4 linked regions of the Alligator mississippiensis genome follow. The protein of the gene in region 1 interacts with the protein of each later gene in a pairwise test. Links are inferred from orthologs where the notes say so. Each region holds a gene or a part of one and is shown on either strand. Other genes may lie near its edges. The genes, in order: BEND7, PPP1R37, PSMF1 and EAF1.

What was found.
Region 2: the proteins of BEND7 (region 1) and PPP1R37 interact in binary tests that used the Homo sapiens proteins (3 or more experiments, as listed by UniProt). The two-hybrid records come from large-scale screens. The link is inferred for Alligator mississippiensis from reciprocal best matches to the Homo sapiens genes BEND7 and PPP1R37.
Region 3: the proteins of BEND7 (region 1) and PSMF1 interact in a two-hybrid assay, tested with the Homo sapiens proteins (2 studies listed by BioGRID and IntAct). The two-hybrid records come from large-scale screens. The link is inferred for Alligator mississippiensis from reciprocal best matches to the Homo sapiens genes BEND7 and PSMF1.
Region 4: the proteins of BEND7 (region 1) and EAF1 interact in binary tests that used the Homo sapiens proteins (3 or more experiments, as listed by UniProt). The two-hybrid records come from large-scale screens. The link is inferred for Alligator mississippiensis from reciprocal best matches to the Homo sapiens genes BEND7 and EAF1.

The regions. Positions count from the first base shown.
Region 1 is NC_081827.1:14,538,402-14,545,474, reverse strand, and holds the start of BEND7 (BEN domain-containing protein 7), read left to right. Parts: upstream 1-3,889; 5' UTR 3,890-4,061; coding exon 4,062-4,122; intron 4,123-7,073.
Region 2 is NC_081838.1:260,371-268,556, forward strand, and holds the start of PPP1R37 (protein phosphatase 1 regulatory subunit 37), read left to right. Parts: upstream 1-4,999; 5' UTR 5,000-5,079; coding exon 5,080-5,217; intron 5,218-5,416; coding exon 5,417-5,585; intron 5,586-8,186. UniProt on the Homo sapiens protein: Inhibits phosphatase activity of protein phosphatase 1 (PP1) complexes.
Region 3 is NC_081832.1:1,942,408-1,949,667, forward strand, and holds the start of PSMF1 (proteasome inhibitor PI31 subunit), read left to right. Parts: upstream 1-4,144; 5' UTR 4,145-4,174; coding exon 4,175-4,303; intron 4,304-4,448; coding exon 4,449-4,601; intron 4,602-4,793; coding exon 4,794-4,876; intron 4,877-5,491; coding exon 5,492-5,683; intron 5,684-6,328; coding exon 6,329-6,382; intron 6,383-7,260. UniProt on the Homo sapiens protein: Plays an important role in control of proteasome function. Inhibits the hydrolysis of protein and peptide substrates by the 20S proteasome. Also inhibits the activation of the proteasome by the proteasome regulatory proteins PA700 and PA28.
Region 4 is NC_081828.1:140,259,238-140,267,411, forward strand, and holds the start of EAF1 (ELL-associated factor 1), read left to right. Parts: upstream 1-5,057; 5' UTR 5,058-5,141; coding exon 5,142-5,244; intron 5,245-8,174. Other genes in the region: tRNA N(3)-methylcytidine methyltransferase METTL6, read right to left, coding at 1,086-1,256, 2,322-2,456, 3,436-3,732. UniProt on the Homo sapiens protein: Acts as a transcriptional transactivator of ELL and ELL2 elongation activities.

The sequences.
Region 1 (7,073 bases):
GTGCTATTGTCGTTCTAAGTCCCATTCTAGGTGTCTACAGAATAAAAATACCAGTGTCCCAAAAGATACTCCCAGGTCTAAGTGTACTTGAAAACTGAACGATCCCTTGAGAAAGATATTCTCTTAGGTCATGGTTGAGGTGGCTTGGCAGTGTGGGATGGAATGTAGGCTCTGCAGTGACCGATATCATACCTGCTCTGTAGATAATTAGAGGACTTTGACCTAAAGGACTGTCAATCTGTCATCTTGTCCTAGTTTCTAATTCACGCCCGTACAGATCACATTGCAGGATCAGGGTTTAGGTGTCTGGGTCGAAAAACACATGGGGTTTACTCACATGAGGAAGTTTTCTCCTGTGCGGTAGAATCAGGCTCTTGGTATACCCAGGAAACTGCTGAAAATAATCATAACTGAAGTTCTGTCAAATGCACAATTTAGGCCAACTGAGCAATAGAAAAAAAATAGTTTTTCACTAACTCTTACTGCAGTAATTGTAGATGTTACTTATAATCATGGAGTGCACTCAATCTTTGTACAGATATGTAATTTCCACAATTGACAGTGTCCCTTTAAGAAAAAATAAATAAAACCCAAAGAGAAAGAATCAAAAGGGAAGACAGACACCAATTCCATTTTGTCGCATGAGTCTCTCTTCACAAATCATGTCCCAAAGTGTTTTACAAAACTGTCTAATACAAGACAAAGAATGGCAGGAAAAACAGAAAAGATCTTTTTTTGGTCTGTAGCACATTCCTTAGGTCAGTGTAGAGTTGAGCCTATCATGTGAGCTGAACAGCAGTGAATGAAGGCCTTATGCTTTATTAAATTCTCCTATTGTCCCATTAAAGATGAGCACAAAGCATAACAGTCCCAAAGATGTTTTAAGTCTTTTAAGTCAAGTTGGCAGAGAAAAATCAGTAGGGATTAGACCCTGATGAGTACAAGCAAACTTAAAACAATGGAGCAGTGGAGTTTAAGACCTGGCTTCATTGAAGTTACGTTGGGGATTAATTGTGACCATTTAATTTAGCAGACAGTAATAGTAATGGCAGCTCTATCACTCCCTTGTGTGCTATTACCTATGGAAATGTAGCCATGCTAGCCCAGTGGATTATCTAGGCTTGGGAAGACCTGTTATCTTCTATGTACCTGCCTCTACTGCTTCAGCATCCACACCCAAAATACATAATGCAGGCTTGAGCGAGCCTGTTAGCCCAGTTTTCTTTTATAAAGTATTACACTGAAGTTTAGAAAATTTCCAAAAGCAGCATCCTGCCTTAGGGACTGTCCACTTAGGAACTTCATTTAAAAGGACATCCCTGTCCAAGCCCCTTAGAAAGGGGCTATTCTAGAACTTGATGAATCTCACCTATAGGCTTATTTTTTCAACGGTGCTATTTGGTGCCAGGTCTGGTTTCTACTTTTTGTTCGTGCAGTACGTAGTGCCACATGGATCTGGTCCAACTGAAGTTTCTACAAAAACTGTGATACAAATAAATAACGGTAATATTCAGTCTGTTTTCTTTGTATTACTTTCACCTCATTCTTCCTAGCCAGTGCACGACCTGCAGTACTGAACTATGGACGTCAGTGGACGGTCAGGGTGTTCCTCTTTAAATACCTGCAGGCACGTTTTGTGCCCGTTTAGGGACTTGCAGCAGGGATGAGACAAAAGATTTTGATTTGGCCTGAGTTTTAAATTGTCTGAATCCAGGATTGTGGTCCCTGCATGCAGTGCACTTTCTCCCAAAGGTGTTCTTGATGTACTGATTGCAGTGAAGTTGCACCAGGGGTGAAATGAGCTCATTCTGTGTAGCAGGTAGCACAGGATATCAAGTACAGTAAACCCCTAGCAGAGGTGAAGGTGTAAACTGGTGACTAAATTAAAGCATTTGCTTCAGTTGTGTTCAGATGATATAAATCTTAGGTTGGCCTTCCTGTCGCACCTTTTTTGAGGAAGGCACTTTCCTTTGAGCAGCCACATCAAGGGAAACTGTGTGAAACTTTGTGCACTCAGTTCGCAGAGGCTCCTGCCAAGCTTCTTCCGATTTTACTTTGTGACCTCTGCCAGGCAGAGATTAACCTCAGGGGCAATTGAAATGGGCACACCCTTGTACACACGATGAGCAATACAAATAAAATCAGAGGGAGATACTTTCAGCCTGCAGTTTCAGGGAAAACCCAACTCAGAAATGGGGGTTGTCAGCATAAAAAGGTTGTACTAGGTGAACAGCTGAGCATGAGGAAGTGAACTCCGGCTCGTGAAAGTTTGTACTCTCTCTCTAGGTATACATGGTATTCAGTTAGTCTGTACATGGGCATATCTACAGAGACTCCAGACTAGTCCAGTTAACCACTTCTCTCTAAGCAGACACTCCCAAGGTGGTACGTAAGCACAACTTGGTAGGATGGATGCAAAACAGTTTGCATGTCCGTAGCTCCTCCTCTTTGTTATTTAATGGGCTTTAGAAACAAGGAAGGGAACACAACCTCCCAGCATGGGGCAGCCTGACCCCAGGCTAACTGGATACCTTTACCTCGGGGAGAACCAAGGCACCTTTACCCTGGGATAACATAACCATGTACCTTTACCCTGGGATAACTAGGGCACCTTTACCCTGGGAGAACATAACCAGGTACCTGTACCCTGGGGATAACTGGGGGCACCTTTATGCCAGATTAACTGCAGACCTTTACCCTGGACTAACATACCAGAGCAACTTTACCCAGGAAATCCACATCTTTACCAGGGGATAATTAGGCACCTTTACCCTGGGGTTAACTAGGGTACCTTTACCCCAGATTAGCATAACTGGGCACCTTTACCCTGGTTTAACTGGGCACTTTGACCCTGGAATAACATAGCAGGGCAACGTTACCTGGAATAAACTGGTACCTTTACCAGGGGATAACCAGGCACCTCTACCCTGGGGTAGCAGGACACCTTACCCCCGGATAACATAACCAGGCATCTTTACCCCAGATTAACTGGGTACCTTTACCCCAGATTAACATAACTGGGCACCTTTACCTGGAATAACCCAGTACCTTTATTAGAGGATAATTAGGCATTTTTACCCCAGAATAACATAAGCGGGCACCTTTACCAGGGATAACATAACAGAGCACCTTTACCTGGAATAACCCAGTACCTTTACTAGAGGATTATTAGGCATCTTTACCCCAGATTAACATAACTGGGCACCTTTACCCCGGGATAATATAACAGGGCACCTTGACTCCAGGTTAACTGGGGTACCTTTACCCCAGATTAGCATAATTGGGCACCTTTACCCCAGATTAACTGGGCACCTTTACCAGGGATAACATAACCGGGCACCTTTACCTGGAATAACCCGGTACCTTTACTAGAAGATTATTAGGCATCTTTACCCCAGATTAACATAACTGGGCACCTTTACCCCGGGATAAAATAACAGGGCACCTTGACTCCAGGTTAACTGGGTATCCTTACCACAGATTAACATAACCGGGCACCTTTATTTACGCTGGGGTAACTGGGTACCTTTACCTCAGATTCACAGCACCCGACCCCTTTCCCGGGGATCACATAACAGTGCAACTTTACCTGGAATAACCCGGCACCTTTCCCCCGGGATACCGTGTCGGGGTAGCTGGGGACTCTTGCCCCGGCGCGCTCCCTCCCCAGCGGGCCCGGGCCCCTGTCCCTCCCCGGGTCCCGGCGAGATGGCGGCCGGCGGCGGCGGCGCGGCGGGCCCGCGCGGGGGGCACAAGATGGCGCTGCCCCCGCGCCCCCCTCAGGGCCCCCGGCGCGGCCGGGCGGGGAGCGCGGCGCCCAGCAGGTGGCAGCGGGCCGCGGGCCGCCATCGCCGCCGCCGCCGCCGCCGCGTCCCCGGGCAAAGTTTGGGGCGCGGGGCGGGGCGGGGCGAGGCACGGCTGCCCCACGCCCCTCGCTGCCCGCCCGCCCGCCCGGAGCCGGCTCTGGCGGCCGCCGCCGAGCTGCTCCAGCCTCCCCCTTCCTCCTTCCTCTCCTCCTCCCCCTGCTCCCGCCGCGGCTCCCGCTCCTGCCTGCGCGCACCATGGAGTTCACGGAGAGGAAGAGAAGCAGGAAATCCCAGAGCTTCAAACTGATCAACCAAGGTAAAGTGCAGCCAGGCTGGGCGGGGGGAGGGTATGCTTTCCCCCCAAATTAGGAACCCTCCCCCCAAATTAGGGCAGAGGCTGTCTGTGTGGTGTCCCCCCCCCCCTTCCCAACTCTCCCCACAATTGGGCTGGCTTCAATTGTAGGGGCAGCTCTTGTACAGGATAAAGTTGGGTTTCATTTCATTCCCCCCCCCCAGAAAAAAAGGGGGTTCAATTTGAACCATTCAAAAAAAAGGGGGGGGATGACAAGGGTCTGCACCCCCCCCTTTTTTAATATTATTATCTCTTGCGTGGCCGCTGCGCACCTACCTCCACGTCTGGCTGGGAGAGAGGTTTCATGTCCACGCCACTCGTTTAATTTGAGGGCAGAGGGAGGGGGGCTGGCTGGCGTGGGACTTGTTGGATTTGGGGGAGAGGGGGCATTGCTGTATTTTTAATTTTATTTTTATTTTTTAATTTTGTCCCCCCCCCCCCCCTTACACACATATACACACGCACACCCCCCGCTTCTCCTCATTCATGTCGGAGAAATGCACCTCCGTCTTCCAGTCCGTCTCGAAAATCGGAGGCTGTCTGGGTGGTTTAAACAGGTAGACCTGGCTTTAGGGGGGGCAGGGGTTTGTTTCTTGCCACCGCAGCCGATGGAGATGTTTTTCGCCCTCCTTGATCCGGCTGGAGATCTTGTAAAGTATCGAACTGAAATATCTCCATGAAATGCCGGATGTGTCCTGCATGCCAAGTTGAAGGCAGAGTCTCTTTGGTGTCATGTCACACTTTCTGAAAAGAAATGCCAGAGGTTCACAACTCCTGTGTCAAGATGAGGAAGAAGGGGTGGGGGGGGGGGGGGGGGGGGCGGTTTGCCGCAGGTTATGCAGGAACAAGTGTAAGAAAGGTGGGTCTAAAATGAAAATAATCTCACTTGAGGAAATCGTGAAATTTTTTATATATATATATATATATATATATATATTGTAAATGCGTAACGTAACAGTGGAGCGTTTGCATGGTGAACGTGTAGATTTGGTTTTTGTTCAGCTGGGTGAATACAAGCTTGTACAAAGAAGCGCTTGCCAAGCTACAAGTAGAAATGCACGAAGGATCATAGAGAAGTAGGGCTGGAAGGGATATTAAATGCCAAGGACTACATTTATTTTTCAAGCAATAAACCTGCTCCTGCATTGCTTGTGAACCCAAGGCTGAAGAACTGCGCTTAAAGCAGCATGAGGATTTGAAAGTGAAACTGATGAGAAACAAAAGTGAAACTGATTAGTGTATTTTTATTTCCAAGCTGAAGGAACTGGTGAAAAGTGTAGAATAACCTAAATAATTAAAGACAAATAGATATTTGACAGATAGTTTTAACCGTAACGTAAGTTAAGTCATTTAATTCTAGATAAACTAATGTTCGGTCGTAAATTCTCAGTTATGCTTGGCTTGTCTTGGAAATCTTCTTCTTGTAGAGATGTAAAGAGACCAACTGTGCCAAATCCAATTTCTGAAGGAAACGTATTTGGATTCTCAGAGAGTCCAGAAGATAAAAACCGTGTTTTAGTACAGTAAGATGACATTCTCATGTACTTTTAGTATTTTTCCTTTTCTATCAGAGTTGATTACCAAGATAATTATATATATGATTGTTGTCTCCCTTGTAATCAGCCTGTGCCTCCTGGCTGAGTCACTCAGTAATGTCACAGTTTAATGTTTACTGTTGTGAAATTGATATGGATTTCACAGGCCCTGGACTGTGACATCTGAGGCAGAAGGGGACTGAAAAGGAAGCCCTGTGCTGTATTTATTTAAAAATATATAAACTATTGTCATTGTTCTCCTGTTTCATCTCAAAGAATCTCAAAGCACTTTACCACCCTGATCATACCAACTGTGCATGTAGAGATCACTTTATTCTTTTATTGAGATGTAGCCACCTCTGGAGCAAAATGCAGTAACTTTAACAGAGTAGCTAAGAACCAAAAGTGAACGTATCATATTTGCTGGAGACAACATATAATTTAAACTTTGTTAATCTGCCAGTCCCTACTGTCCAGGTACTGATAACACACTTTTACCCAATCTGCATCAACAGGAGAAAAAATAAATAAATAGAATTTAATGACTGGAGAACAGGACTCCGGTAAATTCTGTGGGGTTTCTTATTTTGGAAAAGTGACTTAGGAAGCCGGGTTTGGCTCTGTATGTCATACAGCCTTGTTAGTCTTTACTCCCCCAGCACACCCCATCCAAAAATCTTCCAAGTAAAATCCTTATTAAGTGTGACTAGTCACCATTCCCCTTAAATTTGCTTCATATCCATAGAAGTCTTCCTTCCCTATAGTCGCATCTCTCCCTATTTCTCACCTGTATTGATGTTATTTTTTATTCTGATGCAGTGCTGGGATCACATCTTTTGTTTTTCCTTTCTTTTGTGCCTAGTGCTTTACACATAAATAACAATGCGTAATAAGAAAGATTTAATACAGAGGGTCTTTAAATTCTGGACTTGATTATTTTGTCAGGGTTGCAGGTGTGTTTCTCATGAAAGGAGCAACTGCACATAATACTCTTCACTTCTGTTGTGCCTTTTATCTGAGTAGCTCAAAGCACTTTTCTTTGCATTCATTAATTTCCATAACACCTTTACGAGGCAGGTAAGTTTGATAAAAAACCCAGTCCACAAAGAGAAACACTGGGATGTAGGGAATTAAAGGACCTTGTCCTCTGAGATGCTGAGTTCCCTGCATTTCCATTATAAGAACAAGAAGCTAAGAACATCCAGCATGTCAAAAGAGCTGCTTCGTGCTTAATACTGCCTGGTTCCAAGTGACATGCCCAAGGTCATAGAGTATATCAGTAGCAGAGCCAGAAATAGACTCCAGGAGGCCTGTCTCCTAGTATTTCCTGCCATAATTACTCCTCTCTCCTTAGGTGTTTGCAAATGAGAGAGTTGCTTT
Region 2 (8,186 bases), on another chromosome or scaffold:
GCGGCCCCGACTGCCGCTAGGAAATGGGCTCAGGGGACGCGAGCTCTCTGGACACACGGGGCTGTCCAGGGACCCGTGGCAGCTCCCCCCTTGCTCTGCTTCTGCTGAGGGGGTTTCTCCCGGGGCACACGTGGGTGACTCACCCGCTCCGGATGTGGCCTCCCATGTCGCACGCGCGGCCCCAAGCTGCAGCTGCGAGTTCCCCTCCAGCCCGCGCTGCTTGTGTGCTTTGTGCAGGTGGGCAGCAGCGGGGCCCTGAGGACGGAGGAGCGGCAGGATGGTCCTACGTCTTGTTCAACATCTCGGGCCTCCCCGACGAGGAGGAACTGCTGGCTCTGGAGCTGCGCTTCTCCCGCCAGGAGATGGTGGCCCAAGGCTCTCGCATCAGCCTGTACCACGCGCCGGACCCCTCCGAGGTGGCTGGGGGCCAGCACTGGCTGCTGGAGCACCGCGTCGTGGCTCAGGACCAGCCGAGGTGGCAGAGCTTTGACGTCACAGCTGCGGTCCGAGTGGGGAAGCGCCAGCTCGGGTTCCTGGTGGAGGTGGTTCACAGAAACAGCAGCTCGCTGTGGGACCTGCACCTCCGAGCAAGACGCTCCCCCAGGGAGGCCGAGGGGCGGTGGGCCCCAGAACGGCCTTTGCTGGTCACCTACAGTCACGACCAGAGGAGCAAGGCCCTGAGTGCCTGGGGCAAGCGGAGCAGAGGTCAGGCCACCAGCCGAGATGGGAGAGCAGGCAGGAGGTCTCCCAGGCCCCGGAGCAAGCGGAAGAGCCCAAAGACCAAGAAAGGCCCGGCCTGGTGCCACAGGCACCCCGTTTGTGGACTTCAGGGACATGGGGTGGGATGACTGGATCGTGGCTCTCAGTGGCTACCATGCCTTCTACTGCCACGGGGAATGCCGCTTCCCCCTGGCCGCACACATGAACTCCTCCAGCCACGCCATGGTGCAGACGCTGCTCAGCTCGGTGAATGCCAGCGTGCCATGGACCTGCTGCGTCCCCACCATGCTCAGCCCCGTGGCCCTGCTCTACCTGGGCCAGCACGACGTCGTTGTCCTGAAGACCTATGAGGACATGGTGGTGGACGGCTGCGGGTGCCGCTAGAGAGGGCAGGGAGCCGTTGCAGGCAGAAGGGGCTCCCTGCACGTGGGCCCGCATACTGCCCACCCCAGCTTTGCTGCACCAGCAGCACCCGCACGGGAGCAGGGGCAGGCAGGCGGGGCTGTGCGGCCGTGGGCCGGTGCCAGTGGGGAGCATTCGTGGAGCTCTGTGGCTCCTGCCTGCGCTGAATGAAACGAGTGGAGAGAAGTGGCTGCCCTTTTTGTGGGGGAAAAGGGTCTAAGCTAGAACCCAAATACGTGCTCGTCTCTCCCCGAGCCGCGCTCCCCCCAGTTTGTGTGCTTCCTCCTGGCCCCAAGTGGGTCCGATTCAAGCAGGCTGGAGAAGAGCCTGGCAAATGTGTGCCCTCCAGCCTGGTGGTCCGAGGGCTGTGCTTGAAGTCAGAGACGCAGTGAGGAGCTGATATAGACCCTGCATCTCGCAGCTTCTGGGTGAGTGCCCAAACCACTAGGACAGGGGTGTCCAACTCAAAATGAGCTAGCAATGCGGATCTAGACTGCCGGGCTTCTTGCCACAGCCACCAGCCCTGCCGTGTTGGTGCCAGCAGCCAAGAGGCTAATGCAGCATTTGAGAGGCCTGATCTCATGCTCAGGTCTGCACATGCACAGCCCCGTGCACACCCAACAACGTGCAGCCTCCTGCACGTGCTCCATGGCTGTGCAGACCGATACACGTTTGTGCTGCACGTGTAACAAAATTGGAAGCCAGGCCTCGGTGCTGGACATGCTGCTCATGCAGCTGGAAAGCTGCATTTTGGGTGCATTGAGGGTAAGAGAATTCCACCGTCTCGCTACTGAGCGCGTGCCAGCTATGATCCTTCCAGGCTCGTAACCCGGCCAAATCTGAGCAGGTTTGGACGGGGACGGCAGAAGACACATCCCCGAGGCAAAGTGCACCCTGCTTTCAAGACCCTCCTCTCACGAATGCAGGTGCTGGAGTGCTCCAAAACCCCCATTACCGCTGCTTTTTATTTAACAGGCAAAAAAACCTTATTTCACCCTAGCCTCATGCTCAGAAACAGCTGTTGTAATTTAGGCTGTAATTTTCTACAGGAAATCACAGCCCGAGCAGCTACGGCTCGACAAAGACACAAATCACTGAAATCAGGGTCTTATAATGGGAACCTCAATAGCGGGCAGCGCAACCAGCCCTGCCCGAAGCCACAGCAAGACACAGCAATTGCTACGGCTTAACTCAAGGATGGCTTGAACACTTTAACGGCACCTGTGTGTGGATTTGTGTGTCGTAGAACTAACCGGGAATGCTGAAAAACCAGAATTATTCCATTATGAAGGTTATTCAGGAGAGAAAAAAGCCACCTCATGGTAGCTTTCCTGAGGTATTCAGTTTTTAATTACTTATAACTTATATATAAATCTGCTGTTGATTTCTTGAAGTTCTTTATTAATCCATTCTCTTTACCCAAAGTGCAGTAAGTTTGAGGAGGCTATGCCATCATTTTTAATCAAAACCAGCAGGATGAATCCCAGTTTTCGGTGCAAAATGGAATTAATTCACTCTAAACTATAGGGTTGTGACCAGCTGCTGGAATTTCTGCACCAGGCTCGCGGGCTTGCTAGCAGGGCACAGGTGCCAGGCAGGTTTTTGCAGTGCTCTTAACAGGATGCATCTCCCTGGATGGGTGCTGCGGTTGTGGCGATAACGTAACCGCTCTCTATTTTGCAGACTGTGTTTGCGGGCTGAGACCAAAAACACGCCAGGTCAAGGCAGATCTGTGCGCCAGACATGCTTTTGGTGTGCCACTTTGTAGGACATCAAGTTAACCCGCCTTGTTCTGGTCTGATGTGTTCTCCAATGTTATGATGCAGCTTCATGGCTCGTGGGTCACACGTGATAGGACCTAGCCATCCCGGTGCTGGACAAGTGTTTCATGTGGGGTGCACTGGTCTCTGCATTTTCCAAATTGCAAAGTGGCCAGCTGAGACCATTTCTGGCTCAGCCTGTTGTTGCGGCCAGCACAGCCCCTTACCGAGGAAGCTGGAACAGAGCAGGAGCGGAGAGTTTGTGACCAAAATAGCTTTAATCGCGGTCAGGCAGCTGGTCCGACTGCTGCCTGGGGGATTAACACTGGGATACGTTAATTCCAGCGTCTCTTACACAAACCAGGGATTTCATACATTTTACCTTTTTAAGTCAGAGCATGGTCGGATGACGCAGAGCTGCGCCGCGCGCCCCCACAGCTAGCAGTAACCCCCTACCCTCCTGTCCCAGTAAAGCCTGGCTCCGCACCCAGAGCAGCCTGTAGCTCTGCCCGTTCGGTTCCTTCGGGTTACTCCTGATCCTGCTGGTGACCGATTCCCCTCATTACTGTATTCACCTAGTTTGCTCCCTTTCAGGGCTCGGTCCGGTTTGCTTCGACGCCATCAAGCGGGCCGTCTTCTTCGAGGGTATCGGGCCTGTTGGCTTGAGCAGCTTTAGCTGATTCCAAGTTTGGGAGGAGTTTTAGCAACTGATCTGTTCCAGGCCAATCGGGGCCATCTTTCAGTTCAAAGCGAGGCCTTTGGCTGAGACAACCCCTCTCATTTCATACAAGACATCAAGAGACTTCCCCCTCCCTGCTCAACGGACAACAGGCTTGGTGACCCAGTTATGCAATTGTCCCGCACGTCCCCTCGCGCGCACACGACGAAGGTTGACGGGAGCTCACGTCTAGTCCAAGCCCCGCTCCAAGCAGGCCAGCCCCGACAAGGCTTTGTTGAGCTGGGTCTTCAACGCCCGCGAGGACGGCGATCCCACCGCCCCCTGGGCGCCTGCCCCAGCGCTTCCCCACCCGCCGCGCCAGCAAGCTTTCCCTAAAGTGCAGCCTGAACTCCCCCGGCCGCGCCGCCCCAGCCGCCGCGCTTCGTGTCCCGCGACCCGCTTCTTCCGGCCCCGCTTCGCGAGGAGGAGCTGGGGCTGGCCCTGCTCGGCGCAGGGGCCGGACTAGACGTGCCCGCCGAGGTCCCTTCCCTCCACCCGGCCCGTGCCCCCGCTTCATCCCCTGGAGCCGCATCTGCTCTGCGGGCTCCCGCGTCGCGGCGTGCGGGGCCGGCCGGCCAGGCTTCGCCTCCGGCAGCGGGAAGCCTGGTGACCCCGGCCGTCACCAGACCGGCCCGACGGATGCGTTTATTTGTCGGGTCTCGGCGGCTACAGCTGTGTGAAGTCGGAACGGAAAGGACTCGGATGCAGCCGGTGCCGGGGCGACGCGCGGGTGTTGGTGCCTTCGGCTCTGCCCGGAGAGGGGCACGTTCACGGCGGGAGCGGGGACGCCCCTCGCCCGGCCCGCGCACCCCACGTGGCCGCCCAACCCGGAACTGCCGCCCCGGCCCGCGCGACGCATGCGCAGAAGAACGCCAGGCACAGCCCCGCCCCCTTCCTTAAAGGGCCCCTCCGGCACCCGGCGTCGGCGTGCGTGACGTGTGCTTGCGTGAGGCCGCGTGTTCGCGGCAGCGGATTCGTGCCTTTTTTATTTTTTTTCCCTTCGGAGCGTTGCTGCTGTCGCGGGGCCGCCTCGGGCCTGCCCCCGCGCGGACAAGCGGCGGAGCCCTCCATTCGCCTCCGCGGGGCGGCAGCGAGCCCCCGCCTCCGCGGCGAAAGTGCTGTGCCGGAGCGCTCGGCTGCCGCGCCGGGCGATGGCCGCCGCCAAGGGCTGAGCAACCGCCGCCGCCGATTCGCCACCAGCCGCCTCCGCTCCCCGCGGCCGTCGGGCCCCGGCCCCGCCCCGCCCCGTCCCCCCCCCGTCCCCCCGGGGCGCCGCCGGCAGCAGTGCGGCGGGGCGCGCGGCGGCGCGGGCCCGCGTGGAAAGTGCGGGCGCGGACGGGCAGGCCGCTGGCGCACTCGCTGCGGCGCCTTCCCGGGCCCGGTGCGGACGGGCCGCCACCCGCGAGCGCCGCCCCGCGCCCGGCCCCGGCCCCGCCATGCCGCCCGGGCCCGCCTGAGCGCGCACAGCCGGCGCCGGCCATGGAGGGCGCGCGGGGGCCCCCCGCGCAGGGGGACCGGGCCCTGGGGGACGCGACGGGCCCCGAGGAGCCCGCCGCCGCGCCGCCCGGCGACGACTTGCTGCTGCTGCCGCTGCCGCCCGGGGAGGGCGAGGCGCCGGTGCGGGGCCCCGGGGGCTGGCGGGCTCTGGGACGGGGTCGGGGTGAGGGGGCTCCCCCAGGGGGGTGGGGGGGCTCTGGGATGGGGTCGGGGGTGCCAGGGGGTGCGTGGCCCCAGGCGGCTGCCGCCGAGGGGTGCCCCGAGGGTGAGGAGGGAGCTCGGTGCCAGCCCCTCCGCCCCGTGCGTCTCTTCCCCCCAGAACTGTTCCCCGGAGGCGGAGAGCCCGGGCGCGGACCCGGCCCAGCCGGCCCAGGCTTCTCCTCCCGCCGAGGACGGCAAGCTCAAGCCTGGCGCGAAGCGGGTGACGTTTCCTTGCGACGAGGACATCGTGTCGGGGGCCGTGGAGCCCAAGGACCCCTGGAGGCACGGTAGGGTCCCAGGCTGCCGAACCCGGCTCCAGCGCGTGGCTGCTGCAGCCCTGTCAGAGGCTGCGTTCGTCTCCGTGGTTGGGTTCAACGCACAGCGGGGCACGAGCTTCCCAAATTGTTTGTTAGAGCCGGAGACTTCGCCGGGGTGCTAGAAAACGTTGCAAGCGCTTTGTTGCTACACGGGACGACGCAGCTTGAGGCTTGTTTTAGCTGGTGAAAAAACGGCCGGGTTTGTTTGTGGGGCCGCGCGCAGGCTTTGTGCAGGTGTGCCCAGTCGTGCGGCTTTAGCAGTCCCAAGTGCACGCCGAGCTGGTGTTTGCTGGCGGCGTGCTGAGCTTTTAAACAGAGGTGGATGTTTTATAAGTTGCATTCTTGCGTCCGGACAGAGTTGTCCAACTTCTGTTGTAACCGGTGGCTTGTAAGAATAAAACCCCTTTCTTAAGACCGCTCATGCCGGTCTCTCTCTCTCTCTTCCTGTTTTTCTTTATTTTGCTTAGCTCATTTGCAGAAAAGCAAACATCTCACTGACCTTCCAGATTTATAGTTATTGAACTCAGTCAATGCTACAAAAAGAGATACTGCTACCATTATTAAAAGCCAGTGCACTTACCCAACAGTCACTGCTAATACCTCAGTTTTGTAAATTAGTTTGAAGTCATGTAAAGCTAATGTTACCTTCAAGTAATGTGTTGCATGGTTTTAACTTTTAAAATAATTTTTGTCAACTGGATGGTGTATACGATGTAGTCGGTGCCCTTACTGTTTGCTTCCTGCATGTGCTCGGTGTTGAAGGAATGTCAGTCTGTCTGACCAGGATTACTTCACCTCCTTGTTCTGGGAACGGATTTTGAGGGAAGCTGTTGAAGCAGAGGTGCAAAAGATCAGGGTGTTGCGTCTGAGAAACGGTGGCATTTTGAACCGGTTACAAAGAAGTTGTATTCTCTTCCTACCTTTGCTTTTTAAAAAGCAGTCTTTCTGAAATGCTCTTTACCTTTTCTGTTGTTGAACACTGACGGCCTCTGGCTAATGAATCAGTATTTCACAAGCACCAGGTTTATTTCCCCAAATTAAATGGGACTGCTTGGTTCTTGATGTGCTCAGGTATGTTGTCCTGTGCTGCTTGTTACTGGGCATGCTCCGTGAGGGAAGTGCACCAAGCAGCGCCGCTTAGAGAAACTCTGTCAGCGTTTCTAAATGTAGGTTTAACGAGAGAGGGACAGAGACGGGTCATCCCGTACAGGGGTGGTACTAACAGTACTGAATTCTGCTAATCTCTGTTGTGTTTGCAACAAAGAGGTGGATTGGTTCCTAATGGCCTGAAACTTTATTTCACCATGTATGTAATTTTATTGACATTCTTTGTATTCTTCTGCCATAGTATGGAGGAGAGAAATGTTGAAGACTTATTCTTCCCTAAATAAAAGTATTACTTGCCTTTTGAAAATTGGGTCAGATGCTAGGAGGGGATAATGATACTTCAGGCCTGAAGATATCTCTTGCTTTTCATAAATCCTGCTGTATTTACATAAATGTGAATGGGTAACTTGCCTTTTGAGTGACAAGCTTGCATTTACAGATGAAGTATTTAATTTCTTTAGTTACTGCAGCAGCAGGCATAATTATGAAGAACTGCAATGGGGGGGTGAGTAATGCAATGATCTTAACATTCTTTTTACAACAGAAATAATCAGTACATTTTAAGTGACCGTTCCTTTTAATTTACTGTGTATAATAACTGTATTCCTGGGAGTCATGTTAAAATGAAGGTTTTGTTTCTGCTAACTTCTGTCGTGCTCAGTAAAGTGGTGAACAGGAAACGGATGATGGTAGAGTACAATAGAGCACGGGGTGGATGGATATGGAATGGCCAGCTGTTCATTTCCCAGCTCTTGTCCTGGCACGGTTGGGTGGGCAGCACTGCGATAGGGATATGATGCTTGCACTGGTGCCACTGTACTGATAGCGAGGGACTAACAGTTAAGTTTAAAATGATGTCAGAGCATATGGTGCAAGAGACCTACTTAGGGCAGATAAGTTGTCTTTGGCTGGCTGAACTCCTGACAGTCATGGGGCAGGTTGGAAACACGTGCTCCCTGTGTGTCACGGGCACAGAGAGCCAGGTTCACACAGTGATCCGGAGTGTTGCTGCCCCAGGCTCTTGGGTGCCCGGCTCTAGGACTGTACAGCGAGTAGGGAATGTTGGATGCTTTAATCAAGGGTGAAATGCGTGAGGAGGCTTAGGGGCCAGGCCAGAACCCAGGACTCCTTCCTCCCAGAGTAGTGCCCTCGTTACTGGTGAATCGTGCTCCCCTTGCTGCACCGGCTGGCCTTCTGAATCTTGCGTTCCTTTCTGCACCACGGAGCAGCATCAGTCAGGAGAGGTGGAGCGTGGCTCATCCCAGCCTACCCTGCAACTCATAGGTTAGAGGCCTCCCACTGCAGTTTGACCTCCCGTTGGGCTGAGGGTCTCTATTGAGGGGCTGCCACTTCCCGGGGAGCACTCAAATCCTCAGGCTGTTATGTGCAAAGGAGATTCTGCTGCCACCTTGTTTTGTCCTAAATGCCAGTGCTCTCAGCAGGTGCTAAGCTGTTCAGAGGATG
Region 3 (7,260 bases), on another chromosome or scaffold:
GACCCGCCTGTACCGCAGCGTTGCTTCAAACTTCTGATGCCACAACCCGGAGCTGCCCCTTCATGTGTCGGGAGAGCATGAAGTCGAGAGCATACGCTCCAGCTCCCGCAGACAGGATTTCTGCAGGCGCCCGGGCCTCTCCTCGCTGCACGAGCATCCGGTGCAAAGCCAGAGGCCGGATCCCTACAGACTCCCACGCAGCCAGGGCGTCAGAGACAGCTTCCAGCCTCGCAGGGAGCCAGGACAGACAGGCGAGGTTAGCAAGAGGTGTGACTCCGCCTCGGCCCTGCCACGAGGGGAGATGAATCATGCTTGCGAGTGGCGGCTGTGAGGCATCGCTCCTTCAGGCGTGGTGCATCTTCCAGGGGAGCCGGAGGACTTGCCCTGAGTTATCTCCACTCGGTGCTTATTAATTATGTTGAATCACAGCCTCCCGAAGGGCAGGGAGCTCCACTCCAGAAAGGACAGGGTGCCTGCAGCGAAATGCTATGCTCTTGCCCTGCTGTCCCAGCCAAAACCTACTCCCACCAAAGTCCAGAGCATAAACTTCCCTGAGTCCCAACAGGGAAAAGCATTGGGCCTTTGGGTATCTGCCAAGGTGGGAAGGCAGGGGCTTTCTGGAAAAGCTCGCTTTGAGCAGAGCCCATTTCCTAACACTCATGAAATTAAGCGTGCAAGATTTATTTGCCATAAGCCAGGGAGATCCAGGAAGCCGTCCGTTCTACGAGCCAACGTGGTGATTCCCAAAGAGCATCCCTCCTATACGCCAGCTCGGTCTGGACCGCTCTGACTTGCCCCCAGTGACGTCTGGCTTGCCGCTTTCCTGACAACGTATCTGCCGCCGAGCTCCTATGGGCGGAAATGAATTGGGTCTAGAAAGGAAAGTTACTGAAGCTATTGCAACCGCTCCTTGCACAGCGAGGAAGTCCGGTGCATATATTAGAAATGATGCAGGTCATGATAGGCATAGAAATAGCCTTGCTACAATAAACTGCTGAAAAGCCGCCTGGTGCTATTGCGATAGGTGTCTGAGAGATGCCAAAGGGGCTGTTAGTCTAAAAGCTCAGCGGTGAGCTCGAAGGCCACTTGGATGTGGTGCGATACACTCTTTTTCTTTAAAATAGCTTCTGTCAGCCAATGTCTTGGTCTGCTAGTGGCAAGCCCTGCTTCGGAGAGGCCGGGGGTGCAAAAGCATGGATCAGACTCTAGCAAACCATAGGCAGTGGGTTTGCAAATGGTTTTCTAATAGCTGCTGGTTGAAAATGCACGTCTGCTTTGCAGGCCCAGAGGGCACAACTGTATATGCTGGTCTGCAAACCAGAACTGGCCCTTTTGCACGTGCAGCTGCTGGATGTATGTTCATCCAGCAGCTGCACGTGCAAAGTCCACACGTGCATGTCCGTCCCCCTTATGCAGGGGGTCGGACTTGATGATCTATTGAGGTCCCTTCCGACCCTAACGTCTATGAATCTATGAATCAAATGCACGTACAAGTTAGACTCTCGGGTCCATGTTTGCCGAGCTGGACATGAGGGCACTGGAGGCAGCAGCAGGTGCTATTTGCAGTGACTTTCTGGAGCTGCATATGGCACCTTGTGTCCCCTTTGCCGGGTGCATCTGCAGTCAGGTGTGATCCAGGGCTCGGGCCCTTTGCTCTCGTCCTGCATCAGCAGCAGGGAAGGGTGGTGAGAACGAGCAAGCCAGGCAGCCAAACTCTGCTCTTCCCCCATCCAACGAGAGACCCCGATGGACTGGGATAACCGCAGGAAAAGGTGGAAGGCAGCTGGTTACCAGGGAAGCCGTTTCTCTGGAAGAAGACAGATAGCCCTCGTTAGCTGGGGGCTGAGATAAGACCAGCACTGACCGCCTGTGAAGAGCTTCCATGCTCCAAGCACTGTGCGGGCATCATGAATGGAGCCTCCCACGGCCCCCCGAGATGGAAGAGCGTTATCCCCTTTTGTGGACAGGGATGTTGGGACCCAAAGGCCCTGGCTGCTGTGCTGGGATCCCAGGGGCTGCTTTCTGAATGCCCTGACCTCCAAACACTCCCGCTAGCTGCAGCTGGGTCCAGGCTCTGCATTTCATGCAGGGCACCCCGTGTCGGCAGCCTCTTTGGGCCTGTGGAAAGACAGGCCAGGAGGGACTTGCAAAGCCCAAGTGAAGCACCCCTGGCTCTTAGGTCCTGTCTGCAGCAACCAGCCACCTCCCTTCCCCAAAACCCAGACAGCTTCCAACGTGGACAAATTGGAGAGTCCAGCGGAGGGCAACGAAAATGGCTTGGGGCCCGGGGACAGGACTGGTGAGGAGAGGCTGAGGGAACTGGGCCGATTGAGTCTACAGAAGAGAAGACCGAGAGGGGATTGAATAGCAGCCTTCAGCTCCCTGCAGGTGGTCCCAAAGAGGATGGGGCTGGGCTGGTGGCAGATGAGAGAACAAGGAGCAACGGGCTCCACTTGCAGCATCCCTGGAGCTGCAGGGAGAGGAGCTGGAGCAGGGAGGGGTTTGGCAGGAGCGTCCGTGGGGTTTGCAAAAGCATCGGGAGCCCTCTAGCGTGTGCCGTGCCGCGCCGCTCCGGATGATGGAGAGAGAAGCCTGGAAAGATGACACAGGAAAGGGGAAACGAATCCTACCCTCTGGAGCAGCTCGCACCCAGCCCGGAGCCAGCTCCGGCTCCTGTAACAGGATGCTGACATTGCCAGCCCCGCTGCCCAGCACCTCTGCCATGCACACGCAGGGGAAAGGATTGGATCCTGCCCGGGCACCTGCGCGTGAGCCCCACTTCTCCCAGGGCAATCCCACTGCCTCCTGGAAGCGGCTGCCGCATGGATGCAGCTGCCGCGTGGATGCTCAGGGGCTGCGGGCAGGGGCGAGGACAGGCCGTGCCCAGCCCTGGGACAGCTCAGAACATGGAACTCGGGGCCCTTGTCACCTCACCCGTCACCCAGCAACCGCCAGGCCATAAACCGGCAGGGCCCCAGGCTGCCGGCCTCCCCCACCTCCCTTTGCATCCCCGCGCCTGGAGCCGGAGCAGGGCCCACAGGAGAGGCAGGAGCCTGGGAAGGTCGGTGACATGCAGGGCAGCGCCCGGTCCCAGACCCTCCCTCCAAACTCGGTTCTGGGAGCCAGGTTGGCACGGGGCCCCGCGTGGGCGCTGGATTCACGCGTGCATCTGCGTGATGCTCAGCACCACTAGCGCTGTGCAGACGGGCAGTGCGGCCCTTCTCTGCCAGGCACCTCTGGAGCCGCTTCACTCCAGCCCTGCCCGGGTGCAGGGAGGGGACGGGCCGGGGCAGGGGCAGGGGCCGGCCTCCGGGTTGGGGACACGGAAAACACTGCCTCCTTCCTGGGGGCAAACCCCCCAACACGCACGTGTCACCCTGGCCCTTGCCCCTCAATACACACACACACACACACGTATGATCCTAACTCTTGCCCCCCCCCATGCACACACTCACATGTGACCCTGGCATTTGGCCTCCCACCACATGCACATGACCCTGTTTCCCCCCCCCCCCCCCCACACACACACACACACACACACACACACACACACACGATCCTAACTCCTGCCCTCCCAATGCACACACCCACACCCATGTGTGACCCTGGCCTTTGGTCCCCAACACACACACACACACACACACACACACACACACACACACACACACACACACACACACAATCCTAACTCCCGCCCTCCCAATGCACACACCCACACCCATGTGTGACCCTGGCCTTTGGTCCCCAACACACACACACACACACACACACACACACACACACACACACACACACGATCCTAGCTCTCCCCTTCCCCATGCACACACCCATGCGTGACCCTGGCCCTTGGTCCCCAACACACACACATACACACGTGATCCTAGCTCTTGCCCTCCCCATGCACACACCCACGTGTGACCCTGACATTTGGCCCCCCAACACACACACACACACACGTGCATGCAACCGACACACTGGCTCTTCCCCCCCCAAGACATACACATGCGCACACACAATGACCCCTCCCCCCAACACACGCACGCGTCCGCCCACGTGTGTGCCGCGCCGCCCCGCGCCGCCCCGCCCCTCCCGCAGCGTGTGCCCGCCCACAGGAGGCGGTGCCGTGCGGGGCGGGGCGGGGCGGGGCGGCGCAGCTGCGCAGCCGGGAACGAGCATGGCGGGGCTGGAGGTGCTGCACGCGTGGGCGCTGGCGGGGCTGAGCCGGGCGCAGGACGCGCTGCTGTGCGCCGTGCACTGGGAGCTGGTCACGCAGGGCTACCGCTGCCTGGGCGCCGGCGACCGGGTGAGTGCGGGGCGACCCCCCAGCCCGCTTTCGCTTTCGCTTCTGCCAGTGCTGGGGCACGGCACCCGTCCCTTGTGGCAGGCCCTTAGGGGCGGCCTAAGGGGGTCTGTGCATGCCGCCGCCCTGAGCCGTGCTTGCCCCCCAGGCGGGTCCCAACGAGAGGAAGTCGGAGCTGCTGCCGGCAGGGTGGCACGTGGACAAGGAGCTGTACACGCTGCGGTACCAGGCCCAGGACGACAGCCAGGAGCTGCTGCTCAAGGCCATCATGGTGGACACCAGCATGATCCTCAATGTCATGGTGAGCCCACGCCTGGGGGGAGCTCGGGGCCCTCCCTCGTGCCCAGGCAGCTCCATCCCCGACGCCACGGGTGGGAGACGTGCCCCGGGGACCCAGCTGCCCTGGCAGCTTGGGTGTGCAGGCGGGGAGCGGGCCGTGGCGCCTGCTCCCATCCGCTGGCAGCTGACACGGCCCTTCCTTGCCCTCGCCCAGGACCGCAGCTCACTGCAGGTGGCGGACGTGACCTTGAACGTGGCGGACTACGTGGACCCGGAGCACCTGGACGACTTCCACATGTAACTGCCCGGGCGAGCGGGGCTGGAGCCATTGAGAGCCAGGGAGGGGCAGCAGCGAGGGGCAGCCCGGCACGTCCCTGGCTGCGAGCGGGGAAGCTTTGCGCCCACACGTGGGTAGCTGCAGCCATGGGCCGGGTCTGCCAAGGGGCCACGGGCTTTTCAGTGGGTCCTTGCGGTATTTTGAACATGTGCGGTGCCACGTTCCCATCGCACTCACCCCTACGGGGGTCCTGTAAGAAGATACAGGGTAGAGGAGCGTGTGCCTGGACGGGGCCAGCCAGGGGATGAGAGGCGCCTGTTCCCCCCTGTCCTCCCTGCAAGCTGCCATTACAGGAGTGGGCAATTATTTTGGGCAGAGGGCCACTTACTGAGTTTTGGCAAGCCATCGAGGGCCACGTGACAGGCAGCTGGGGGGTAGATAAATATTAATTTTCTAAATTTTTTAGGGACCTCGCAGGCTGGATAGAATGGCCTGGCAGGCCACATCTGGCCCCCGGGCTACGTTTTGCCCACCCTTGTGCTAGCACGATGGCCCAGCTCCCCAATCCCTCAGGCTGGCAGTGGGGCAGGTGGCCCCAGCGTGTGCCCAGCAGCCATCCCTCTCCGTCCCCGCAGGGTGTACAAGAACGTGGAGGAGCTGAGGACGAGGATCGTCTCGGGCATCATCTCCCCATTCAGGACTGACAAGGAGAAGGACAACAAGAAGGAGTCCAAGCCGGAGAGGACGGTCCCACCAGCTTCCCACCACGACTACGACCCCCTGAGGATCCCGCCCCGGCAGCCCCCGCTCAGCAGGGAGCCCCCCTGGTGAGTGGGGTGGAGGGGGCAGGAAGGGGGTGGCAGAGCACAGAGGCCACCTGTGCTGCCCCCATGCGCCCCGTGTCCCCTCCCAGCTGCCTTCTCCCCAGCCTTGGTGTTGCACCATGGCTCTGAAGGATGCAGGAGCAGCCCCAAGCCCCCTCACCCCATGTCTGCCCACGTTGGCTGGCAGAAGAAGGAGCCAGCAGGTGTAGTTTTCAGCTGGCAGGTGTGTTTCGGAGTCGTGGGGGTGCAGGACCCTGCCACCAGCATCCCTGGCAAGGAGCTGTGGGTGAAATGGGGGCTGGAGAGTGCCCTGTGAAAACCCCCTCCCCACCTGGGCCCTACAGGACACTGACCTGCACGCCTTGCTCTCCAGGCCACGGCACCAGTGTCCACGTGCACAGGGGCTGGCCCAGTGCCTGGGGCTGGCCATGGCAGTGCCGGCTCCAGGTCTGCAGCACACTGGAGCTGGGCATGGTCCCAGTGAAGAACCGCAGCCTCCACTGCTAACACGCTCTGACACGCACCCTGTGCATGTCCGCCACATCCTCCTGCTCCCTCGCGCTGCCTCCTGCACGTGGCACCCCACCGAAGTGCACGGCTCTGTATAGCTGGTGTCCCGCCTCGCAGTCACTGTGTCTTGTCTTGCAGGCCATCTCCCCTGGGCCCCTTTGCAGTGGGCGGAGAGGACCTGGACCCCTTTGGGTGAGTATGGCTGGGGAGATGGGGCGCTCCACCCACCTCCACAGCCTTTCCGGTGCCCCCTTGGAAGTGAGAGCAGCCGTGTCCTGCTTGTGGTGGGGTGGGATGCATTGGATGCCTCCAAAATCCCTTAAATCAATTCGTGCCTAGGTTTCCCATGTGGATGCCGGTGGGGCAGTTGCTGCATGCAGAGGGCAAGGGACTCCCCCTTGGTGCTGGCAAAACCCAAATGTGGTTTTGATCTCACAATGGGCTCCTACAGCTTGGGGCGCCTGAATAATCAGCTTGGATTCATTTAACACGCAGTAATTCCTCTGATAAGACGAGGCTGACCATGAAGCTCAGGGCGTGTAAGCCTTGCATTTAGCATGTTGCCAGCTGTCACCTCGGTGGCCCCGAAAGCTGGTGGAAGGGAGGGGGGAAGGATTTGCCCCCTTCTCTGGTCCCATATGTGACCCTGCAGCATGAGCTCGGCAGGAGCCTTTGGGCTGGGGCCAGGAGGATGCCGGACTGATGCATCACGTCTGCTGTGTGCACCAGCCTCGCCTGTTGTGGGGAAGCCATCCGCAGTCAGAGGGGAACACAGCCAAGCTGGGCAGAGCTAGGAGCAATGACCTCAAGTGGCAGCAGGGAAGAATTTAGGCTGGAGATGAATTTTCTGACTCTGAAAGAGGTCAGGCATTGCAACAGGAGCCCAGAGGAGTTGTGTAATCTCCATCCCGGGACGTTTTCAAAAGCGGGTTGGGATGGTTTAGCTGGTGATGCTCCTGGCGTGAGCAGGGGGCTGGACTAGACGTGACTTTGTGAGGTCCCTTCCTGTGATCCTACACTAGAACCAGCCCCTGGAGACACGAGCCAGCTCCTCACCGCCCCGGAGGCCC
Region 4 (8,174 bases), on another chromosome or scaffold:
TTAGACGTAAACCGACGACTGCTGGCCCGAATACTTCTGCCCGAAAATCTCTGCAGACCGACCTAATGAACCCTGTACCTGTTTGCAACTGTAATCCAAGTCAGTTTTCGTCCTGCACTGTGACCATCAGCGGTGTAAGTAAAGCAATCTATTTGTTCAACCAATACGCTTCGGTGCCTAGTTCCTGTCCGTCGGTCAAAAAGTACCCGCCCGCCGTTTCGGGCTGCTGGCCACAGCCCGGCCTTCCGGCCTTGCCACTTGACTGCCACAGGTTAAAGGAGTCAACCGCCTTCACAAGCAAAACAGTGATTGGGCTTTCAGCGTTGTTCAAACTTAAGAACTATTCCCTTTATAGAAAGCAACCTTAGACGTATGCCAAAAGCTAAGGTTCCTTATTCAAACTGTAACTGATATGCTATACAGAATATCCTGTAATATATAAGGATAATGAATTCTATAAAATACATCATACTATTTTTTTCTGGAAAACGTTGCAAACAATAAAAAAAATGTTATCAGCACAAAAATTGAGTCTTTCTTCCCAACAACTGGCTGATATTTTTTGGATTACAGTACTATCTATAGTGCACTAACTGCTTTGCATTTATCAGCTCTTTGTTACAGGGACAGTCCTGCAGGATACTGAGCACTTTTAACTAGAGTCAAAAGAATTTATCACTTTGTTGAATGATGTTCTATTGCTCCTCATTTGTTTCTCATATAAAATCTAAGGATATGATCCATCCAAAGGCTTACGTACATACTTAACACTGTAGGGTGTGAGCAATCCCATTGTTTTACATTACATTTCAGTGGGACTACTTAGTCTACAACATTAAGTCCATATATGTTTGTAGGATCAGACCCTCAGTCATTACCAACACACACACAGAGCCAATCTCTCAGATTTACTAAGTGAAAAATTTAGTGCAAAATTATTTTAGTCCCTGCAGGAAGCAAATATAACTACTGTAATTACATTCAGAGTGTGTTACGTAAAAGATTCCATTATGTCACAGGACCTTTTCAGAATAGAATGGCTCTTTCAAACAAGAAAGAAAAATGTTAAATCATACTTAATTTACCTTGTAAATATTTTGCAAGACCAGATGCATCTTGTCAGGGTGAATGGCAGAAAGCACAAATATTAACGTGACAACATCTACAGAATCAGCTGGTATATTTTCTAGAAGGTCATCTTTGGTAAGATCACACTGGAAAACTTTACACCTCTCAATATTATATGAAGGGTTTTTCTAGGAAGTGAAAATATTTTGCTGAAACCATAATTGAAAAGAGCAGCATTTATTATAAAAATAGAAAAAAAAATAATTTTGATTTTTTCCTTTTAATCAGGAGAATAACAAAAGGAATATGACTGCAAAAGTAAATTAAAACTTTCTGGTATGAAAATTTTCTGCTTGAGATGAGGTACACACAGCTCTTTTGCCTAAAACTGGCAATACAATCCATTCTCAATGATTTGGGGAGTAAAAGAAATAGGAAAGAAATTGGCCTGTTGTCCATCTCTTATGAGTCTTACAGGTACCTCTAACCTACCAACCTCACTCTAAATTAAAATGGAATTCAGAGTATTTGGAACAATTTTGCAAAATATAGTCCTGTAGGTCAGATGGCATACAACCAAATTCAATTTTTAATTTCTTTTACCGACTGGTCCTTTGAAGACATATATTTACATCTATAGGTTGATTTTATAATTATATACTTCTGCATTTGGAATTTATAGAAAATCAAGAGAATCTTAAAGGCCCAATGTCTCTTTAAATCTTTATGAAAAATATTATAATGTCTATAATTAATATAATAATTAATAATGAATAAATATAAATAGTACTGCTCTTTCTAGTTGATCTACACATTTCTTTGAAAATAACTTCCGTGTCACTGCTTTCACAATCACCTTCATCCACTACCTCTCACAAAAAAATTAAAGTATAATTTATGAACATATATCCTAAAACAAATTTTGCTTGTACTTTGAAATTTATGGTTTGCATTGAAACAGTACTAGTCCCAACGTAACTTTTAAGGACTATCTAAGCAGAACAGCTACTCACACTTATTACTACAGAAACACAGTTTATTACTACATAAGTCAGGTTCTATGTAATGATTCAATTTCTTATATACAGTGTTAAGCTCCAGTGTGTCCATTTCATACTTCCATACCTTACAATTTACCATCTTTATAGAAGAAAAGGAACCAAGCAATGCAATTCTATCATTTCTGTAATGTGGAGTTTTACAGAGCCCAACTTTCTGAAGCAGCACTAAAAAAACAGACATAGCACACCAACCTTCACATATTCAACAGCTCTTGGAGAGAAGTCACAAGCATAAGCGAAGATATTGAAGTCCTCTTTTAAAAGTGGAAACAAGCAGTTCCCAACCCCACAGCCTGCTTCAAGAATAGTGAGTTTCTGATTTTCAAACTAGAGGTGAAAAAGAAGTCAATACATACCGTATCGCTTTTGTTTCATCCTCAAAATGTAAAGATACAGATTGTCACATTTTATAGTTACTATCAGTTTCACTTATCATCCGTTCAAAATCTGAAAAATCCTTTCACTTGCAATTTGACATAGGAAATACAGGCTTTATTTTGTGCTATCTTATGTGTCTCTACAGAGCCATTAATATGCCATTACTCATCTATCCATTTTGGTAATGAGCAAGCTACTGTATCTACTTTACCTCATCTCTGATTTAATAAGGTGAACAAAGGATACACCTCAATGCTTTTTTTTACATGCATATTTTAATATACCAACAGCTCTAGCTAGATGACTTCATATTAAGGTGAATTAACAACTTTTCAAATTGTGTTTAAAAATCTTAGATCTGAGCTATGTAAACTCTAATATAGGACACAGGAGAAAATATTCCAGTCTGGTTCTGAATGTATAAGACAGGTCAATTATAAATACAGACTTCATAAAGTGATTTAACTTTTTTAAATTTCTGAAGCCTTCGAGTAGGCAACAGTCAAAGAGGTACTGAAAGTGCAACTGAATGCATGATGCAGCATGAAAGACTTGAAGTATAACAGTAGAAGCCACTGTCACAGCTTATCTGATCTGTAAGGGGGACTTGAAATCATTTGAAGATGACTGGAAGGCAAGGATTTTTTTAGGGCAGTATCTTTTATTGGACCAACTGCATAGTTAGGATAGAGTTGGATAAAACTTTGAATGCAAGGCATTTTTCATTAGATGTCTTGCACTGGAAAACTTATCCAACTCCATCCCAACTATGCAGCCGATCCAATAAAAGATACCACCCGAAAATATATCTTTGCCACCCAGTTCCTGGACCATCATAGCCACAACATCACTCTAGCACTACCATAACACTTGAAAATAATTAGCAACATCTGTTCCTTTATTTGTAGAACTAGTGCACATAGCTCACCTCTCGGCATGCTTTTAATTCTTCAAACTCTCTGGTTGTCCAGTGTCTGTCTTTGAAGAAGTTGGTGCTATTCCTTTTGTAAAACAGATCCCAGTTCTTCTGGGCCTCTTTCTCCAGTTTTGATTGTTTGAAGTCAGACACTAAAGTTTGATCTCTTGCGAGTTTCTCGGCTTCTTCAGCGCTAAGAGTCCTTATGCTGTGCGCTTTTTTTTGGAAAGCGTCGCCTTCACAAGTTGGGGCTATTACATTTGGGTGATTGGCAGGCACGTCTTTCTGGGACATTCTGAATTCATCCATATGAATGTGAACACAGCAGATTTAAAGTGGTTTTCTTCTTCAGCTGCATATTTCCATTTCTATTTCAGATAAGGCAGCCTAGGCCCTACAACTGTCAGAAGGAATGAAAAAGAAATTGTTATTGTCTTCACATCTTGGGGGGAGGTTGTTCTGCTCTAAATGCCAAGCTAAGAGAGTATCAAGCCCGCAATGCTGACGCTTCCACAAAAGTTCAGAAATATCCAACATGAAAAAACCAAACTGCATTCCAATCTTTTCTGCGCCTCACTTAGAAGCCATTAAAAAGCAGAGAGGCCATAACCCCAACTTATTTTGACCAAAAGCATAAAGGAAAATAATGTCAAATGGGGCTCCCTTTCTTGTTAGCACCAATTAGCCTCACACAAGGAAATTCAGTACAGGAAACATGGGGAGGCTTTAAGAGTTCAACTTAAAGTTTAGCCACATCCACATCAACCTTTTCATCCCTGGTTTCCCCTGCTCAGAGCTCCACATGTGGTAGCAATGATGGAAGCACTAGTGCTTAATGAAAACAGTCTCAAATTTGCTCACAACTTCATTTTCCTAAGAAAATGAAGCAGTGTGTATGCTGAGACCACAAGTAAGAGGATGCTTGTAAAAATGGTACTATCCTCCACATCGAGGTCACAACCTCAGTTTATGGCCTATATAACAAAACAGCTGAAACACCAGCAGGCAGTCCACATTAGCGCTCCTTCTGTGACCCCTACCTGTGAGGCCGCACCGGCGGTAGCGACCCATGTCAGAAGAAGACGGTGACCTGTTTGGGAAGAAAAGGCTGTGGAGAACATGAGACTAATCTTGGGGGTGGGAATCCCACTTCCAGAATCAGGGAAGGAGCAGAGCTCCCAATGCCAAGTGCTTTGCTGGCCCAGCCTGGCTTGACCCTGGCCCGTCACCCCTGGCTCCACGAGTTACCCTTCACATCGCAGACCCGAGGTCCTCGTGTTATGCGACGGCCTTAGAAGCGAGCCAGCGCCCGTCAGCCTTCGCCAGCCTACAACAGGCACCCGCCTCGGCAGCCACTATTCCTCCCGCCACGCGACAAGGGGCGTCTTCTCCTCCCCCAGACCCTCCAGTCAGTCACGGCGGCCCCGGCTCCCACGGGGGCAGGCAAAGGAGAGGAGCCCCGGCAGGCGGCTGAGAAACGGGGGGCGTCGCGGGCCCTGGCTGTAGGAGCGAGTTGGGCAGGCGGGGCCCAGCCCCGGGTGCTCGAGGCCCGCCCAGGCTGCAGGGAGCCACTTCCCGGCCCCAGGCCCTGCACCGCCGCGCCGGCCCGGACCGCTTTCCCCGCTGCACTCGCCGCCCGGAAGGAAGGAGGGGACGGGGCGGGATCGGAGCGGCAAGGCGAGGCGGGGCCGGGCCGGGCCGGGCCGGGAGATCGGGGCATGAACGGCGCTGCCAACCCGCTGCTGGATCGGGAGGAGCACGGGCTGCAGCTGGGCGAGAGCTTCGAGCGGCGGCCCAAGGCCTCCTTCCACACCATCCGCTGTGAGTGCGGCCGGCCCGCAGCTCTGAGGGGCCGCCGCGCCCATCTCCCCCAGCCCGAGACCGTCCGGGGCAGGCTGGGGCCCCGTGACCTGCCTCAGCTGCAGGGCCCCGCTGCTGGGGCAACGGCGGAGGGGCTGAGGGCCGGGTGCTGTTGCTGGGGTTGGCCTGGGGCAGGGTTGAGCCTGGGGTAGGGAGGAGCAGAGGGTTGGACGAGTCCAGCGGTTCTCCGCTTTGTTTTTGTACCAGGACCCCTTTGTAAACCTTGGTTCCCAGTCCCGACCCAGTGCCCTTCGCTCCCGTGTGGGGCAGGGGGTGGATGCATGGAGGTATGGGGTGGGGGGCAAGCAGCCCTTTGCAGCGTCTGAGGAAAAAGCCATGGTTTCCCACATGTTAAAGCAGTGGTTTCATATATCCTTGCGACTGATTTTTGGGTCACGACCCATGGGTTGAGAAGCGCTGGACTAGATGACCTCTGGAGGCCCTTTCCAGTCCAGCTTGTCCAGGATGCTGTCGTCGTCCTGCCCTTAAAACCTGCTGGAGGCACAGGCGGGAAGCGGGGTGTGACTAGGAGAGGCTCTTCAACCTCAGCAAATCCTTAAGGGTTTTCGTGAGAAATAGAAGGAAAAATGCTGAACGTGTTCTGGGCAAGTTGAATTGAATGGAAGTGTGTGAACCAGTAATTCAGATTTCCTTTCGGAGTGAAGAAACTAGAGGCTTCTGAAATGATCACTATAAAGAAACAGGGAAATCAAGAAAACTAAGATAGGGATCACTGGAAAATTAGGACTAGGTGAGACGAGTACTTCTTGTATGAGATGGTTTGGAAAAGCAGAATCCTGCCTAGCGGGACTAGATGACCTCTGGAGGTCCAGCCCAACCCAACTTTGGTGTGATTCTAGGACAGAGCATGTGTGTTTGGGTTCTCACCACTACTTAATATTATTGGTTATCAGAAAGAAAACACAGAAGTTGTTACTGATCAGATTTGCAGATAAAACGGGAATAGATCAGTAGGTCACTAAACTGCTTCTTCCTTTGTATCTCTCTAGTGTATTTTAACCAGTTAATTTCATGTCCTTACAGCAGCAGGACATTGACAGTGCCCTTGTCCCCCTGCTTTACCTGTGGGAATTTAAGGAGTTTGTGTTTTGGGGCATTCTGCCTAGTAGTTGCATGAGAGGGCTGTTCATGCATTTTTACAAATAGGTTAGATAAACACTTGTATAGGATGGTTTAGGTAGAGATGACCCTGCCTTGAACAGGGAGCTGGACTTCCAGGCCTATTTTTCTATGATTGTATGTATACCTTCCCCGAACACCTCATCTGGGTACTTCTAGGAAAAGCAGGGGAGTTTCTAGCCCCTCCATCTGTGGAAAGCTGGATGGAAAATAGAAAACGCTTTGGAGTTCAGTGGGAAAAGGCCATGATTTTATCTAAGGGGGCGTAAAGCTAGTGTGTTCATAGGTAAACTAACAAGACACACAAAGACCAATAAACTCTCCAAGCGAAAAGTGCTTGTGGGCCATATATTTGCTCTACCAGGCACCGCTAGGAAAGAAGCCTGGTAGTGAAATCTTTTGTCAGTCACCCTTGCTCCTACCATTTCCCCCCTGTAAGAGCAGAGAGCTTGACAGGATCCAAAGTCAGAGATCTCCAATAAAGGGTCAGAAATGCACCTCTCACTCAAAGAGAAGTTTCATTAGACTGCCCATGCTGAACGGCTGGCTTCTTTCTTTTGGCGCACAGACCAGATGGTGGGGCGGGTGTTGATTTTCTGTGGCTACTCTTGTGTTCCACACAGTAAATCTGTAAAGCTACATTAGGGGAAAACAGCCACTAGTTTTAGACTACAAGGTTCTTTGGATAAACCTGAGGACATGGTTTGGTCTTTGGATGAAAAGAGTAGGAACACAAGTTAAATCTAGTTGCCATTTCATTCTCTTGTTGTTTGGGAGTGCTGAAAGGGTATGGAACAATTAAGCTTTTTGTCATTAAAGTCAACAGCTTTTATTCAAAGTGAGTATCTCTTTAGAAGAAGTTTGTTTGTTTTAGGTTTTTTTGCAAGCCTACCTTTTGTGTAGAGTTGCATTTTACATACCTCCATGGAACTGATGTTTTAACAGCAAATACAATAATTAGAGATGTCTTGGCTGTGCAATTTTGTATGCTGAGACCAGAAGTAAAAAATGCTTGTAAAAATGGTAGTATCCTCCACATCTGGGTCATGATCTAATTGTACTATAGGAGCTTAAACCATTTTTCAAAACTTTAAACATTGTGGTCATATGTTTATGTCTTTATCTTCATATCTCAGTAGTGTGGTTGAATAACTAACTGAAAATCTCTTTTGAAATTATGTTTATTTGAATTAAATGTTTTGTATTAGCAAAAGTTCCTAGGGTCTTAGCTTACACTAGTTCAGAACAACAAAGTATGCTCTGTTCAGTCAAACTAAAACCCTTGTGAGCTAAGGCCACTTTTAGGGAACTGGGGACTCTAACATGTCATGACACAAGGCCTATATTGCCATCGGCCCCACTTCGGTATCTTGCTTGTCCCCCACCCCCAACCTGGACTTGCCTTTCTGCTCTCCCCACAAGTGTCCATCCTCCTGCCTGAGGAGGGGAAGGGGAACACAGAAGGACCCTAGGCAATACTAACCTGAGCAATCACAGAGTATCTTCATAATAACCTGAACTGACTGAAGTTGTCTTTTGTCACACTCGAGAGTCCTCTGGGGTGTTGTTGACAGGGCCCCTATACTTACTGTGTTCTGGAGTTAACACCCTACTAAAATATGTAGAGCAGTTCTGTGCTTGATTTAGGCCACCTGCAAACTCAGATGTCACTGTGCCTATTTAAGCTTTTCATATTTACCTTTTTGTATGTACCTATTTAAGCAACCACAGGGTCTAGACACTAAGGTTGT